2 linked regions of the Mytilus edulis genome follow. The protein of the gene in region 2 interacts with the protein of the main gene of each other region in a biochemical or structural test. Links are inferred from orthologs where the notes say so. Each region holds a gene or a part of one and is shown on either strand. Other genes may lie near its edges.

Region 1 (7,636 bases), on a different chromosome or scaffold from region 2:
TTTATTAGGAATGATTGTGTTTAACTGATGATGCCATAGATGGTACACTGTGATTGTCATCAAATAAAGTTTTAAATCTTCTGATGTTTTTTTCTTAACCTTTCTGTCTCAGCATTTTAACAAACTCTGTACTTTCTTCTATGTTTTCTTTCAGCTCTCTCTTTCCAAGATTCATGTAGTATATTTTAGTGAATTTTATATTGACATTAATGCTGTTATAGCTTCTGTATCATCAGCATTGGTATTTCTTCTTCAGATGTGATTTATGCAACCCCTCCCCCTTACTATATTGGTATTTAGGTATTCAGTCTCTGTGGACTTTCTCTAACGCTTACTAGATTACAAGCTATTTCAGATAGCATTTGTATAGCTCTCTAACTGTCAGAATGCTGGTCTAGTATTTGTACCAGTAGATATACATGTATCTGCTACTAATTGTATTGTCCATGGTTCTGAATCAATTGCTTCAACCCTTAACATTTATGTAGACAAACTAGTTAATTGGATTATAACAAGGTTCCCCTATAAAGCAACTTTTTATAATTAATGAATTATATTGATATCTTTTGTTGTGAAAGATTAATAAGAAAATAAAGACAAACAAATGCATATGATCTTAGTACACTAAAAATGTATACATGTATTAAAATATCTGTCAAAATATGTGATGGCATACATGTAAATGCTGAATTTACAGTGTTAGAGTCTAATAATTTGCTTGAATTTATTAAAGTATTGCTCAGATAATAATAAGCTTTTATTTTATTTTATCTATATTAAATAAAATAAAATATAGAAATATGATAAAATTATTAGCAATTGTTTAAATAATAATGATGATATGAGTTAATTTCAATAATCCTTTGTTTATTTGTGCAAGTACAGTATAGTAATGACTTTTAACTGGTTGTTAATTGATTTCACAATTATCCTCTATAATCTTTTTGAGTTCCATTTAATCTCCCTTTGATCTTCAATATAGTCTAATCAACAATACAACTACAATACTGGTATATCAGTAATGTACCAGTATTGCTGTTTTTTTAATAAAAAGTAACAATACTGGTACAAAATTTTTATACCAGTATTATGGACAATACTGGTATACCAGTATTGCGATCACCAACTACAGGAGATCCCAAATATTAGTGAAAGTCTCTAATGTAACTGTTATTAGTATTTAAGAAGGACACTAAATAAAAATGTCTATGAATATTTTTTTTATCTGTTTATCATTTCCATATTGCATTTTCGGAAGTAATTTTTTTGTTACTATACACGACTTCAACAAACTTTGTGTCATGTTTGTTGTAGAAGTAATTTCATACTTAAACATATGAGTCAAACCACAAGTTTCATAATGCACATCACATTATTAATATGAGACAATATCTGAAAAAGTCTAATTTTTGGAAATAAGAAAAAACCAAAAAAATTTTTTTAGACCCAGTATTTTAATAGCACAAATTGAAGAACACACATTGGGGATCTAGGAACTGTTGTCTGTAATTCAAAAAATTGTTTTATAAGGAAACAATGGCTATTTCAAAAATGGTACAAAACAAATCCAGTTCTTTCCTGTTACCAAAGTGAATCAATTTTAAAAAGTTTCTAATGGGAATAATGAATAAGTTTAAGACAATATTTGTGGTTTACTAGTATATCCTGCAAGAGTTTATCAAATGCCAATTATTTATTTTAGCATTTGCAATACAAAAGGTTTAGAAATATACTTAAATATAGTCAGATATGTCGGTAACATGAAAGAATCTTGAGTAACAGCACAACGGTAACAGGACAGAGTTGTTAACAGAAAGGATTTTTCTGCTTTATTTTAAAGTTTAAGAAAAATACATCATTTTAAATTGGTCACAATTGGAAGATAACAGCAAACAATGTGATTTATCCTTTGAAACTGTATTTGCAAGATGAAAAATCTGCCTAGGTAAGGAAAAATTCTAAAATAAATTCCTTTCTGTTACTATTTACTAAACTAGAATTGCACAATGTTCTCTGCTGTTATCAAAAGCAAAAAACCTATTTTTTTATTAAATATACTGTATATTATTTAGAAATTTATTTAATATGGTGGTGATAACTTATATTAAATAAAATGGTTAGCATATAGTAGATTAACTTTTCGATTGTCAGTGAAATTGTCTTGAACATCCTTCCTGTTACTGATGATGGTTATGCTGTTACTTTTTATCAGGTAACATGACAGAACGTAACAGAAAGGAATTACGCGATAGTTTTTGTCCTTTTTATCACATTAAATGTAAGTGTATTTCCTGTGACATATAACTTTTAAAAAGATGATATAAAAACACACTTAATGCTGTGGTGCACACTTAAAAATATTCTCAGTAAGTGTAAGAAAAGGCTGTAACAGGATAGAACACCAATAAGTATTTTTCTATAAATTCTTACCTTGGATGGGCTTGAATTTTCAAACCTGGCCGCCTTTCCAACTATTTCTTTGTACTAATGCATTCAGGAAATGATGCTCTGCACAATACATAATGGGAAAATAACTCTTGGTCTTGTAAATGTTTCCACAGGTAAAAAAAACCCAGTGGTAACAGGAGGGAAATCAGCCCTGGGGACAAATTTTTTTTCTCTTAAAATTTGCAAAATTTTATTACATGCTATAGTTATAATATAAAAAGACAAATTAGGGGCAAGTTTATTATATAATATATCATATATGTGAGAATCGGACGCCTGTTTAATTAATTTGGATATTATTTGAATGATTTAGTTTTCAAAAAAACACAGGGGACAACATGATTTTAGGGGGGTTGAACATTTAAATTACAATATTTTATTGGAAGAAATATAAGAATGAGTGTTTAATTGGCAGGCCATGGTGCATTATATAATTTAGTTTATACTGAAACTTAAAATTTTCAAAAAAGATGGTTGAATAAAAAAATAATTGCTGGTGAAGTGCGGGACATGGAAATTAGACTTTTTCAGATATTGTCTCATATATCGAATAAAAGACTGAAATGTAAAAGTGGAATACCTCCATAGAAGCCATGATCGTCTGTCTGTTTACCTTTAGTTTCGAATAAAAAGAAACTAAAAATTTATTGTTTTATCGTGTTTCATATATAAAAAGTATAAAGTATTAGAAATAAAAATTAGATTTCTTAATTTTGTGGATCGTGCATTTCTTTCCATAGGTTTAAAATATTATTCGAAACTAAGTCTTTACATCAAGCTTCTACTTATTTTTCCAGCTCGACATCTATGATCTACAATGGGACCTGCAAATGTAAGAATCAACCCTGTTGGTGGAGCTGTATTTATAGCTCTTGGTGTATGTGCAGCTTTGTACATGTTTGGTCTTCCCGACTGGTTCCATAGAGAGCCCAGAGTTAGCATGAAAGAACTGTTATCAGTGTGTATACAGCTTGCACAAGAAGGGGGCAAAAGAGTAAAAGATGTAAGACTAGCTAGTAATGTACTTCAGGAAAATCTGAAAGGAAAGACAGATGAAGGTGTCAAAGATGTGAAGACTGAAGGAGATACACAGTCGCACAGGGCTATTGTATATGGATTGGCAAAAGCATTCCCTGGTCTAAAGGTAGTTATTATATAAGACCTAATGATAGTTTTCTTAAATGCTAGTCTATTAGTTCTGGTTTGTTTCGTACCTACAATAAGGCAGTTTGGGGAAACAGTTTTTAGACTTACATGTATCTGTCGTGTGACTTCCATCGCCACGTGACAAAAATGTATGCATCCTGACTTCCAACTCATGTTGAGCAAACGGATGAAAAAGTTTGATTTTATACTACACAAAATATTTGGGAAATTAAAATCTAATAAGATGGTCACCCTCCCTCATTTGTACAGGAATCGCACCTACCCGCACATTTGTTGTTCTCACATCGAACATGTACATAAAACAGTACGATAATACTCCCCTGGGAGGCCTGTACTATAAAGGAAGAAGAAGAAGAATCAAGATTATGTACTAATGGAACATAAATGATTTCTTTACTACCCTACAAAATGACGATAATGCTGGAAACTTTTAATAGGGCAGGGATACAGACACATCTTCTATCTGGTAAATGACGTCATAAAGGGGTGCGAAATTGGCGATCTTTTCCAGTGAAAAACATGATTCCAGAAATGACGTATGGTAGTGTTATTGACAGACCCTTTAAGCACTGTCTTAATATCAGTCTGAGAAAGGTCCCAGATATCTATCTTTGGTTCTTTAATTTTTCGGTCCAAAAATGGTATGTCAGTAAAATTTTATGATATATACATTGTAGGTCAGCCTACTATTTTCAGTTTTCTAGTGTATAATATTTCTTTACTACTTTTATTGCTCTACCACATTCATACTGAATTTTGTTCAATGCTTTATAAATCATACATGTAGGTACTATTTTGCAATCAGATATATTTGCAAGGTTTTTGGATAATGTCACATGTTCAGTCCCCCAGGTATTTTACAATTTTACTGTGCCTTTTCACAGCCTTTGTATATCTCTCAGCACCAAAGCATGCTGTAATGAGAACTCACTGTTTGAGCTATGATTTCTGAGGGTGAACCCTTTGCTGTCTCAGACTCTTTATATTGGTGTGCAATATTTTTCTTTATTACAATGTACCCGGTTTGTTAGGTTGGTCTGTTATATATATACATGTATTGTTTTAACCTTGTAGTACTCATTATTGTTGATATTGATAAGATTATCGTTGATCCAAAATGTGTTCATGATGTTTAGCTTAAGTGTCAAATGCCTTATTTCATAAACTTGGTATATTTCTCTTTAGGTTATATCTGAAGAAAAAGATCTAAAACCTGTGAATTTACTGGAAATAAAAGACACAAATAAGCATTTAACAGAAGTTGCAGAAACAATATCAAGTGACCAATCAATATCAAACTCAAAGATTACAGTGTGGGTCGACCCTCTTGATGCTACAAAGGAATACACAGGTATAACAATATTTTGTCCAATTAAAGGGCCCTGTAAAGAGCTATTATCACATTACATACAAATACATAAGATAAGAGACATATAAGAAAACAACACCTTTCAACAATATTATTATTTTTATGCTTAGTGCTATATTAAAGTCCAGGACAGAACATATATACCTATGTATGCAAGTATACGTAGGAGTATACTTATGTTCTTTTTGGGTAAATACAGCAAACGCTTGAAAGTTTACAAATTTGATTTTTAAACAATAAACAAATATATAGCCATTTTGTGAGTTGTTGCATTAAGTGTTTATAAGGAAGTACACCACTAATTCATGGTCCCATTGCTTTCTATGTTAAATTCCTCCGTTTCAAGCAGGCACACCTCTTTTATTTTAAGTTCAAATAAAGTGGCAATCATTGCATTTCAAAGCAACACTTTATGGTGTCTTGTACTGAAAAAATCAACATACCTTACATTGCATATAAGAAAGAACTGGTTCCCGGAACTTCAGATGTACCAAAACAGGTACTTCAGATCTGACAAACAGACAAAATGTACCCTCTTTTTAAAATTTGGAGCAGTTTTTTTACTATTCAAAATTAAAAGTCCAAAAGTGTTCTACAATGATCACCAGTCCTTCAGCTTTCATTTGATACCAAAAATACCTAAATATTCTACATATTTTGAAAGTTACACTCATGCGTAGGAACTATTTTGTGTTAAATATGTACTACTTTCTGGTATGTGCTTTCTGGCCGGGCCTGAATTAGTGGTGTTACACCTATAACAGAACCAAACTTGCTATATTGACTTGAGCATTACTTTATTTCATTCTATGATCTATTTCAAGCAATAAAAAACATATAAAGCCTTAGTCCAAATACTATTTTATTAATTTAAAGCTCAAATTGGACTGGTAGTAACATATGGGTTATTCAAAGAAAACTGCATATGTATATTACCATTGGCCAATATATTTTTTTTATTCTCAATATCATTGTTTTATTTATTAATTTCTATTAGGAAAGCTATGTGCTTACTATTAGTCATATTTTTATCAGAGGTTCTTCATTAAATAACAATACATTAGTCCAAACTTAAGACATAAATGAGAAATTATCCCCCCTTTTTTCTTGAAATTGAAAAAAGGCTTTTTTTTTTGCATGAATTATAATTCTGTGGTAAAACATAGATTAATAAGAGCAATTTATATATCCCTCAGCTAGATAACTTGCTAAACTGGTCCAAAATTGCATGTACAGTGAGATTTAAGAATTCTTATATGAGTATATACCATTTGCCTAGATTGTAAAAGGCTACCATAAGAAAAACAAAAAAACTTGAAAAATCATGTGATTATTTTGACCAAGAGCTATTTTGTTCCATAAACAAGTCATAAAATACATGTTTTATTGATTTGAATCAGAAAAAATGCAAAAATGAGAACTTGGAGTCAAGTCTTAACTGCATGCATGTTGTATGACCATAAAAGGCTAACATATTTGAGTATGCCAATTTAAGAGCTTAAATTTCCCATAAGCAGGACGGTTGACCCAAAAAAGATGATTAGACATGATTACTAACATCATATTTGACTTATTTTCATTGGAATAGGTACAACTTCTAAAAATTGGATTTCTGGTGATTCTCTGTAATAGGAAGTACACCACTAATTCATGGTCCCATTGCTTTCTATGTTAAATTCCTCCGTTTCAAGCAGGCACACCTCTTTTATTTTAAGTTCAAATAAAGTGGCAATCATTGCATTTCAAAGCAACACTTTATGGTGTCTTGTACTGAAAAAATCAACATACCTTACATTGCATATAAGAAAGAACTGGTTCCCGGAACTTCAGATGTACCAAAACAGGTACTTCAGATCTGACAAACAGACAAAATGTACCCTCTTTTTAAAATTTGGAGCAGTTTTTTTACTATTCAAAATTAAAAGTCCAAAAGTGTTCTACAATGATCACCAGTCCTTCAGCTTTCATTTGATACCAAAAATACCTAAATATTCTACATATTTTGAAAGTTACACTCATGCGTAGGAACTATTTTGTGTTAAATATGTACTACTTTCTGGTATGTGCTTTCTGGCCGGGCCTGAATTAGTGGTGTTACACCATAAGGCCATTAACAATCAATCAAATTTTCAATATGCAAACTCTAATTTGAATTTTTATAATTGTTTCCATATATACTGATGTGCATCCACAATTATAATCTATTTTACCTGAAAATTTTAGTTTTATGTTTGTTAAAATATACAGCTTTTATTTGTTTATCTGAAATAGTTTATTCTTTAGGATTCAAAATCTGAATAGCAAGATAAATGTACATTAACAGTCTATACATATTTATAAAGGAACAATGACTTGATACATTGTTTGATATATACATGTACTTTGCAAATGCAAGCAATCACAATGTATAATCAAATAAGTTTCGATAGCAGATAGCAGAACTTTCGAGGTCAAGGGTTGAAGTCATAAAACTTTGCTCAGTGCTCGGAGCACACAAATCATGCTCGAAACATGAAATCCAACATTTTTATTGCTTGAGTTTTGAGTAAGAGTACAAAAAACTGACTTGAAAGTTTAATGACTTCAAGGCTCTCCTGACAGTTACAATTTCTCTGCTCTGTTAACTACACAATAACACTAAGTACTACATAA
Region 2 (7,753 bases):
AATACTCTGTGTTGAAGGCCGTACCTTGACCTATAATGGTTTACTTTTATAAATTGTTATTTGGATGGAGAGTTGTCTCATTGGCACTCATACCACATCTTCCATATCTATTTATTAATATAAATGTATAATTATTCTATAATGAGCATGTGATGCCATCCTAAGATCCTAGTTCACCAGTTTGTATTGCCTTGTTCCAGGGGCAGATTTAGAGGGTTTTCCTGGATGTGTGGAAAAATTTGGCTGATTATGTAGAGAATCACTGAAGCATGATAGGAGCGGGCACTCTCTTAGGCAGTCAGTGGGCACCCCCTTATGAAAATTTCTGGATCTTCCACTGAATTCATCTTACCTGGGTGAACTTTGACCTTTCCAATAACCCCATAGACCATTCCAATACAAACAGGATTCCATGCTGAACATAAGTCTATACCTATAAGAATAAAATATCATACAAATATATCATACATGGGAAAGATTGTTGTTGGATTGCTGTCTTTTAAAAACATGTGTAAGATGATATGTCTGTGAGACACAATGTTTTGTCTGCATACGCCAGGATTGGCAAATAAAATATTGGTTTGTTTGATTGTTTGTTTCCTTCACTACATCCTACATTTACAATAAATCACAAAATATAAGTTCTGACATTTGAAAATGAAATGTAATTTTGTTTTTGTTTTGAAACTGAACTGATGTGAAAGGTCAATGCCATAGAAATCAATATGCACCATCATAAAAAAGGTCAGAAATGTATGATACTACTAGACGATTCAATTATCTGTCAGCTTAATATTTAGAAGTAACCACACTGGTTTCTTAAAGATATGTTAGATAACCTAATATTATTTTCAATTGATTAATTGTATCATCTAAATATTGCAACTTATTTTTTCATGACACTGACTATTGAATTTATAGTATGAGGCAGCTTAATAGAGCCTACATCCTAATCAATTATTAAGGTTAATCACTTGACATTCATTTTTTTCCTTAACAAATAATGTGAGGAACTATAGGCCTTAGCATTGTAAACAATCATTTTTGAGTTATATGCAAAAGGTCAGATCAATTGGGTTAAGGACACCACCATTTCAATTCAAGGGGGAGGGGGGGAGATAGGTGGGGATGGTTGTTTCCTTAAAAAATATTCTGATCACTAATTTGATGAAAGAAAAATATTTAGGTCCAGATGATGACCAAATTTCCCATACTGAATAGTATTATACATTTGTATTCTGAAAAAAAATAATTGATTGCATGTGTGAAAAACTAAAAAAAAAAGGTTCGCACTTTGACCAAAAAATGTTGTTGAGATTCTGACATAAAACCAGAACACCCCCCCCCCCCCCCCCCCCCCCCCCGTCCCCATTTGAAGTTAAATGATTACTCCCTAGAATAATGTGTCAAACTGATATTCTTTTTTAAAATTCATCTGCTGGATTGGAGCTACGGTACACATTAAGATTAATTTACAGAAAGACTAAAGCATGTAGGGTTTTTATTTTAATGTAAATAGCCATTTAACAAGTTCAAACATATTTTTTTTTTTCCAAATCAAAAACATGAAATAAATAATTTTGTGAAAAAAGCAACAATTTTTAATGACTGATGATCAAGGAATCAATATTATTCGACATGTTCGATAATAGATACTTTCTTGGGAACAGATTAACTTCTTATCATAATTTGTATATATAACTAGTTAAACATTAATGGTCTAAAAGGTCAATGATGAACCAGTTTATTAGTCTGACTGCTGTTTGGTACATCATAATTAAGGCAGAACAGCTATTATTAAATTGTTTAAAAGCAAGACGATAATAACAAAATACTATCTTAAACATTGATTCTTTGTAAGTGTTTCTTTCTGATTTATTCATATAGAATGAAATAGGAGTGCAGGTAAAATGTCCTTATCATGATTCGTCAGATGTGAATGAAGTCCATTTATGTACTAATTAGCTATATATATAGTAGCTCTATTGCACATCTGGAATACATTTTATTTCGAACAATGTACATACATGTATATTGTTCTTATTTAGTAATTTTTACCCAGCACCATATATTTAGGTTCAGTTATTCAAATCCAACTACTTGTCGCTGATTTTTCAAAGAAATCGATGCAGATAATATAATTAAACATGGACAGGAAGAGAACCCCAAAATGAACTGTTGTGCAAAAAGAAATATTCACATTTTCCATTTGCTCAAACATGATTTAAAATATTTTTTTGATAATCAGCACCCTGGTTAATCCAATCATTATCAACTATAATTAGCATGATTATAGCATTGTCTTAGACAATGCTAATCATGCTAAGCATATAAAGATAGATACTCAATCAAAGTAGATAATCATTATCAACTATTAGCATTGTCTAGCGTGAAAGATAGATACTCAATCATGGTAGATAATCATTATCAACTTTTAACATTGTCTAGCATGAAAGATAGATACTCAATCATGGTAGATAATCATTATCAACTTTTAGCATTGTTTATAGTGAAAGACAGATACTCAATCAAGGTAGATAATCATTATAAACTATTAGCATTGTCTAGTGTGAAAGATAGATACAAAATGTACTCAATCAAGGTAGATAATCATTATCAACTATTCGCATTGTCTAGAGGGAAAGATAGATACTCAATCAAGGTAGATTATCATTATCAACTATTCGCATTGTCTACATGGTCTAGAGTGAAAGATAGATACTCAATCAAGGTAGATAATAATTATCAGCTATTAGCATTGTATATACAGTGTAGCTTGAAAGATAGATACTCAATCAAGTTAGATAATCATGATCAACTATGAGTATTTTTTTTAAATCTTTTAACTTTAAAATCAAATGAATACTGTTTTCTCCAATATTGTCTCAACATTTTCATTTCAAAAAAAAAAAAGTGAAAACAAGTGAACATGGTGAAACTGCAAGCTAATGCTCACTGATGATACCCCCGCCGCAAGTGGATAATATTAATAATGGTGTTCGGTAAACAGGAAGTTGTCGAGTGATGAATCTGAAAATGAATCACATGGTATACATGGTATAGCAGACTTATATCAAGCCTGAAACCAAATTTTAGAAATCCTTTTAGTATAGTTCTTGAGAAAAATGTGACGAAAAATTTCAACTTGGCTATCAGGTGTAAAATGATACTTGTTCGGTAAACAGGAAGTTGTTAAGTGATGAATCTAAAAAAGCAATCACACGGTATAGAGGACTTACATTGTATATCAAGCCTGAAACCAAATTTTAGAAATCCTTTTAGTATAGTTCCTGAGAAAAATGTAACGAAAATTTTCAACTTGGCTATCATGTGTAAAATGATACAAGTGTTCGGCAAACAGGACGTTGTTGTGTGATGAATCTGAAAATGCATCACACAGTATAGCTGAAATATATAAACTCTGAAACCAAATTTCAGAAATCCTGGTAGTGTATATACATTGTAGTTCCTGAGAATAATGTGACGAAAAATATTCATGGGACGGACGGACTGACGGATTGATGGACTGACGGAAGAACGGACTGACGGATGGATGGATGGATGGATGGACAGACAGAGGTAAAACAGTATACACCCCTTTTTTTTAAAGCAGGGGTTACAGTATACCCCCCTTTTTTTAATAGCAGGGGTATAAAAATGTCATGTAAACACCATGTATGTATGTACTGGTAAATGCCTCCGATATCCGAAGAACCCCTCAAAAGCTGCAAGGGTACAGTGGCATCCATGTACACTCCCTAACGGGATTAATGGAGATGTGTCACTAACGTATGTTTATACGACAATTATTTTTACAAGGACAATCAATCCCCACCCAACACAAAGGGAGTGCTAGGACACCGGGCAGTCTGTTATTATAGTGGAGGAAGCCGAAGTACTCGGAGAGAACCACCGGGCCACTCGGTGGAAATAGACAAACCAGAGAGATATCAGAAGATTGATCTCCAGGTCAAAGTAAGGGACAACTTTGACCAACCGAGGCCCCCAAAGTACCCATTCTAGTTTAAACTCCAGTCTGGGTACCAGAGATGTGTGTGAGAGGGTGAAAATTACCCTTCTGATGTGCTGATATTTTCAGCACTGTAGCCATCGGTCATAACCACTAGACCACGAACTCACATAGTACATGTAATTACTGTACAGTGGTACTAATGTATAATACCTGTATGGAGTTATATTTTTCAGAATGATAGGTCATTCTTTTCGAAGAATCATAATTTTTGTTCCGCTCGGCTAATTTTTGCCCAAAATAACTGGCTTTGGAATTTTATAAATTGTTGAAAATCACAGTCATACAGACTTTTTTTCTATACGCCTCCAGTTTTTTAGCTGATTTTTGATATGTGAGACTACCATCATGTTTGTGTCCACAAAGGCACATGTGTTATTGAAATTGCAGACTTTCAACTTTTTGAGACGGGGCCATTCGTGTCGGATTGACACATCTAGTTGGGATGTTTTTATCATAAACATATATGGATAAACATTAGAAATCACCTTTTTTTGGTTCAAGATCTCCTGTAGTTCTACTACACCACAGCGTAAAATCGCCATCCTGTAAGATATAATGGTCCTCAGTGTGAAAAACTTGTATCATTTTATCAATTCTTTATCACAGGAACCTTATCTCCACAAGTTTCATTTCATTTTTCACTTTTGGGGCAAAAAATAATATACGAGATAGAAAATCGAGCTAAATGTCAGTTGCAGGAAATGAACACTTTATTTACCTTCAGCTTTGAGAGCAACACTTCCGGTAAAATCAGAAATATGAGTGTAAGTCTGTATGGATGATAACATTATAAATATATTGCTTACTTTGATATATGAAGTAGTTTACACGATTTTTTTTTACAAAATTTAACTTTTTGATGATTGTTGAATTGACGTTCTTCTAGCTATAGAGGTTTAAAAACAAATATGGTGTGTGTCAAAAGAAACTGAAAGTGAAAAATACAGACTAATTTTCTTTTTCTCATTTTGTATCAATAGACAACTTTCGAGTTCGATGCTTTTCCGTCAAAAACTCTGGTTTTAGTGAACGTCATTTGTGCGTTTAGGGGCGTCGTAACTTCCATTCAAATGTTGAGCGAGTGGTTGGAAAACTATAATTCTATATTGTACGAATTATTCGGCAAATTGAATTCTCAAAATTGACAATCAGCATTGCTGTCATTAGGGAATTGTCATTAAGTACCTACAGAACAACCATTATTTCTAGTTTATCCTCCATAATGACGATCACTAGGACGCTTGATGCATGTAAATAGTGCAGGGATACAGGCGACCCCCTCTATCTGGTAAATGTCATAAAGGCGCGTATAATTGACGAGTTTTTTCCGGTGACGGATGAACTCGAAAGTGGTCTATTCTTTTTATGCCCCCTTTTACAGGAAGTATTAATGAATGCTGCTAACCGTCTCAGTGTTCTAGGATTTTTTTGGCACCTTGACTTACCACGGGTAAGATCAATAAAAAAATTACTTACCCACATCTAAAAGTTAAATCCGCCAACCAATGCGGACGGCGCAAAAAAAACGATTTCTTACTAAATTTGACAAATATGTTATAGTTATTACTATGTCATTTATTCAGAGCTATAATAAATGCAACTGTAAGTTTATTTTCCTCCGATGACAAGAAAAAAAATTGTTTATGTCCCGATTTAAGCACCAGTTATCAATCCGGATTTTCCGATTTTTACCGACACCGTGACCGACTTTTAGAATGATAGGAGAAGAATGTGGTCTCTTTTGCGCTTGATTACACCTAGTAAACGAGTGCTTGAATAAAAGCGCCGATAGACATCGACAAAATCTTCGATCTTTTATCAAAGTTTTTTCTCGTGATTTAATAAAAATAAAAAGCAGATATGGGAAAATTGAAGAGGACCGGGAAATTTCAAGAGTTTTTCGGCTTCCCCGAACTTGAAAATTGACTTACCACCGGGTGACAAAGGCTAAAAAATGACTTACCCGTTGTCCTAATCCACTTACCCCGGGTAACGGGTAATGGGAATCCTAGAACACTGCGTCTGCTTGTCCGTCGTCAACATATCATACATTTATACCTCCAAAATGCTTTAACAGATATTCAAGAAACTTTGTTTATATCTTTTGACGTGAGCTCCCTTAAAAAAGCTTTCATTTTATCAATTTCAGATTAACTGTTGGTTTCCGACTTTTGGGGTTTTATTTATTGAAAAAGGAGGGATTTTCCATCAATGTCCAATTTTCTGACAATAACTCAAGAAATGCTTTTACCAATTTTCATGAAACTTTGTTTGTTTATAATATGAGGCAGGCATTACCTGTGAATGGGGACAAAGTCTATGATTTTTTTTTTTAAATCAACAATGTTAAAAAGAGAAACGGAGATACCGTAATGTTTCCGATTTTGGTTCTGTTGTTAGGGATTTTAGTTGTGACATTTATTTAAGTTATGACGTCATATTCAATGTAATCAAAGAAACGCTGTCATCAGATAACTTTTTTTTAATAACAAACATTTGTTTTAAAATGAATTAGTATTAGTTACTTTCTTAGACTGATAAATATACATTTTATTCAAAGTCTCATGTCACAAGACCGGAAACGGAAGTAGATTTCTGCGCAGACTGGAAATTCATAAACGCGACAAAAAAAATTCGGGAAATTTTCCCGATTTAAAAAAAAAAATATTTATTATTGAATTTTCTACTGTAATAGGGGACTTGGTCACGATATTATATAGTCTGATGTAGAACTGATTTACTAAGTATTGCGCAACAGCACAGTGTATTGCGCAACCACAAAAAATCTAATTGGATACAAATTCAATTTATTTATTTATAACCTTAAACCAATTTGAGTTCTTTGACTTCATTTATTAATATGTCAAATAGTTACATGTACTTACAATCAAAATTCAGACCTGTATCAAGCTTGAATATTGTGTCTTTTTTGCCCAAATTAAACTGTTCAGGGTTGGACCTCTGGAGGCGTATCCAGCTGCATTCAGCTAAGCAGTTTATTATTAATATCATGGCAGTTATATATTTTATCATCTTGCAACATGTTACAATGTATACAGAATAAAAGCATTTTTGTTTTTGATACTAACTTTATCAGCAAGAATATCAAGCAAGCCCACTAAGGCAAGTCATAATAATGTGGTACTGTTGGTATGATATTAGAATCTAATTCTAGAAGTGCCCTTTGGGCATCTTTTCTTAATAATAATGTAATGTATTTTATTTGAATTGACAGCTTCCTAGAATGCAGAGATCTGATCACAGGAGACACAGACGTTTGACATCTAGAAGTTCGTCAGGTCAAAGGTTACCAATAGTTGTTCAAACACAAAGAGCAAGAAGAAGAAATAATCCTCTAAGGGAAAGAAATCAGGAAGTAGTTGATGTTGAAGGTATAAATATTTGCTTCTCTTTAACATGTTGAATAAAATACAGACATGAATTAAATTCAACAATCCAGTTCCATCCTCAACAGTGATGAAGCCTCAAAAGAGAAATTAGAAATGCATATTAATATACGATATAGCTTAGGAGAATAGGCAACTTCCAAGTGAAGTCTAAGTGAAGAAATGCAATTAAATTTTTATACGACCGCAAAAATTTTAATTTTTTGGTCGTATATTGCTATCACGTTGGCGTCGTCGTCGTCGTCGTTGTCCGAATACTTTCAGTTTTCGCACTCTAACTTTAGTAAAAGTGAATAGAAATCAATGAAATTTT

The links.
Region 1: the proteins of E3 ubiquitin-protein ligase RNF4-like (region 2) and ubiquitin-conjugating enzyme E2 W-like form a complex in vitro, tested with the Homo sapiens proteins (2 studies listed by BioGRID). The link is inferred for Mytilus edulis from reciprocal best matches to the Homo sapiens genes RNF4 and UBE2W.

What each region holds. Positions count from the first base shown.
Region 1 is NC_092344.1:109,518,581-109,526,216, forward strand, and holds the start of ubiquitin-conjugating enzyme E2 W-like, read right to left. Parts: upstream 3,075-7,636; 5' UTR 3,044-3,074; coding exon 3,029-3,043; intron 1-3,028. Other genes in the region: putative inositol monophosphatase 3, read left to right, coding at 3,266-3,592, 4,801-4,966. UniProt on the Homo sapiens protein: Accepts ubiquitin from the E1 complex and catalyzes its covalent attachment to other proteins.
Region 2 is NC_092347.1:57,598,466-57,606,218, reverse strand, and holds the start of E3 ubiquitin-protein ligase RNF4-like, read left to right. Parts: upstream 1-4,686; 5' UTR 4,687-4,734; coding exon 4,735-4,797; intron 4,798-7,268; coding exon 7,269-7,425; intron 7,426-7,753. Other genes in the region: phosphatidylinositide phosphatase SAC2-like, read right to left, coding at 353-433, 4,519-4,618. UniProt on the Homo sapiens protein: E3 ubiquitin-protein ligase which binds polysumoylated chains covalently attached to proteins and mediates 'Lys-6'-, 'Lys-11'-, 'Lys-48'- and 'Lys-63'-linked polyubiquitination of those substrates and their subsequent targeting to the proteasome for degradation.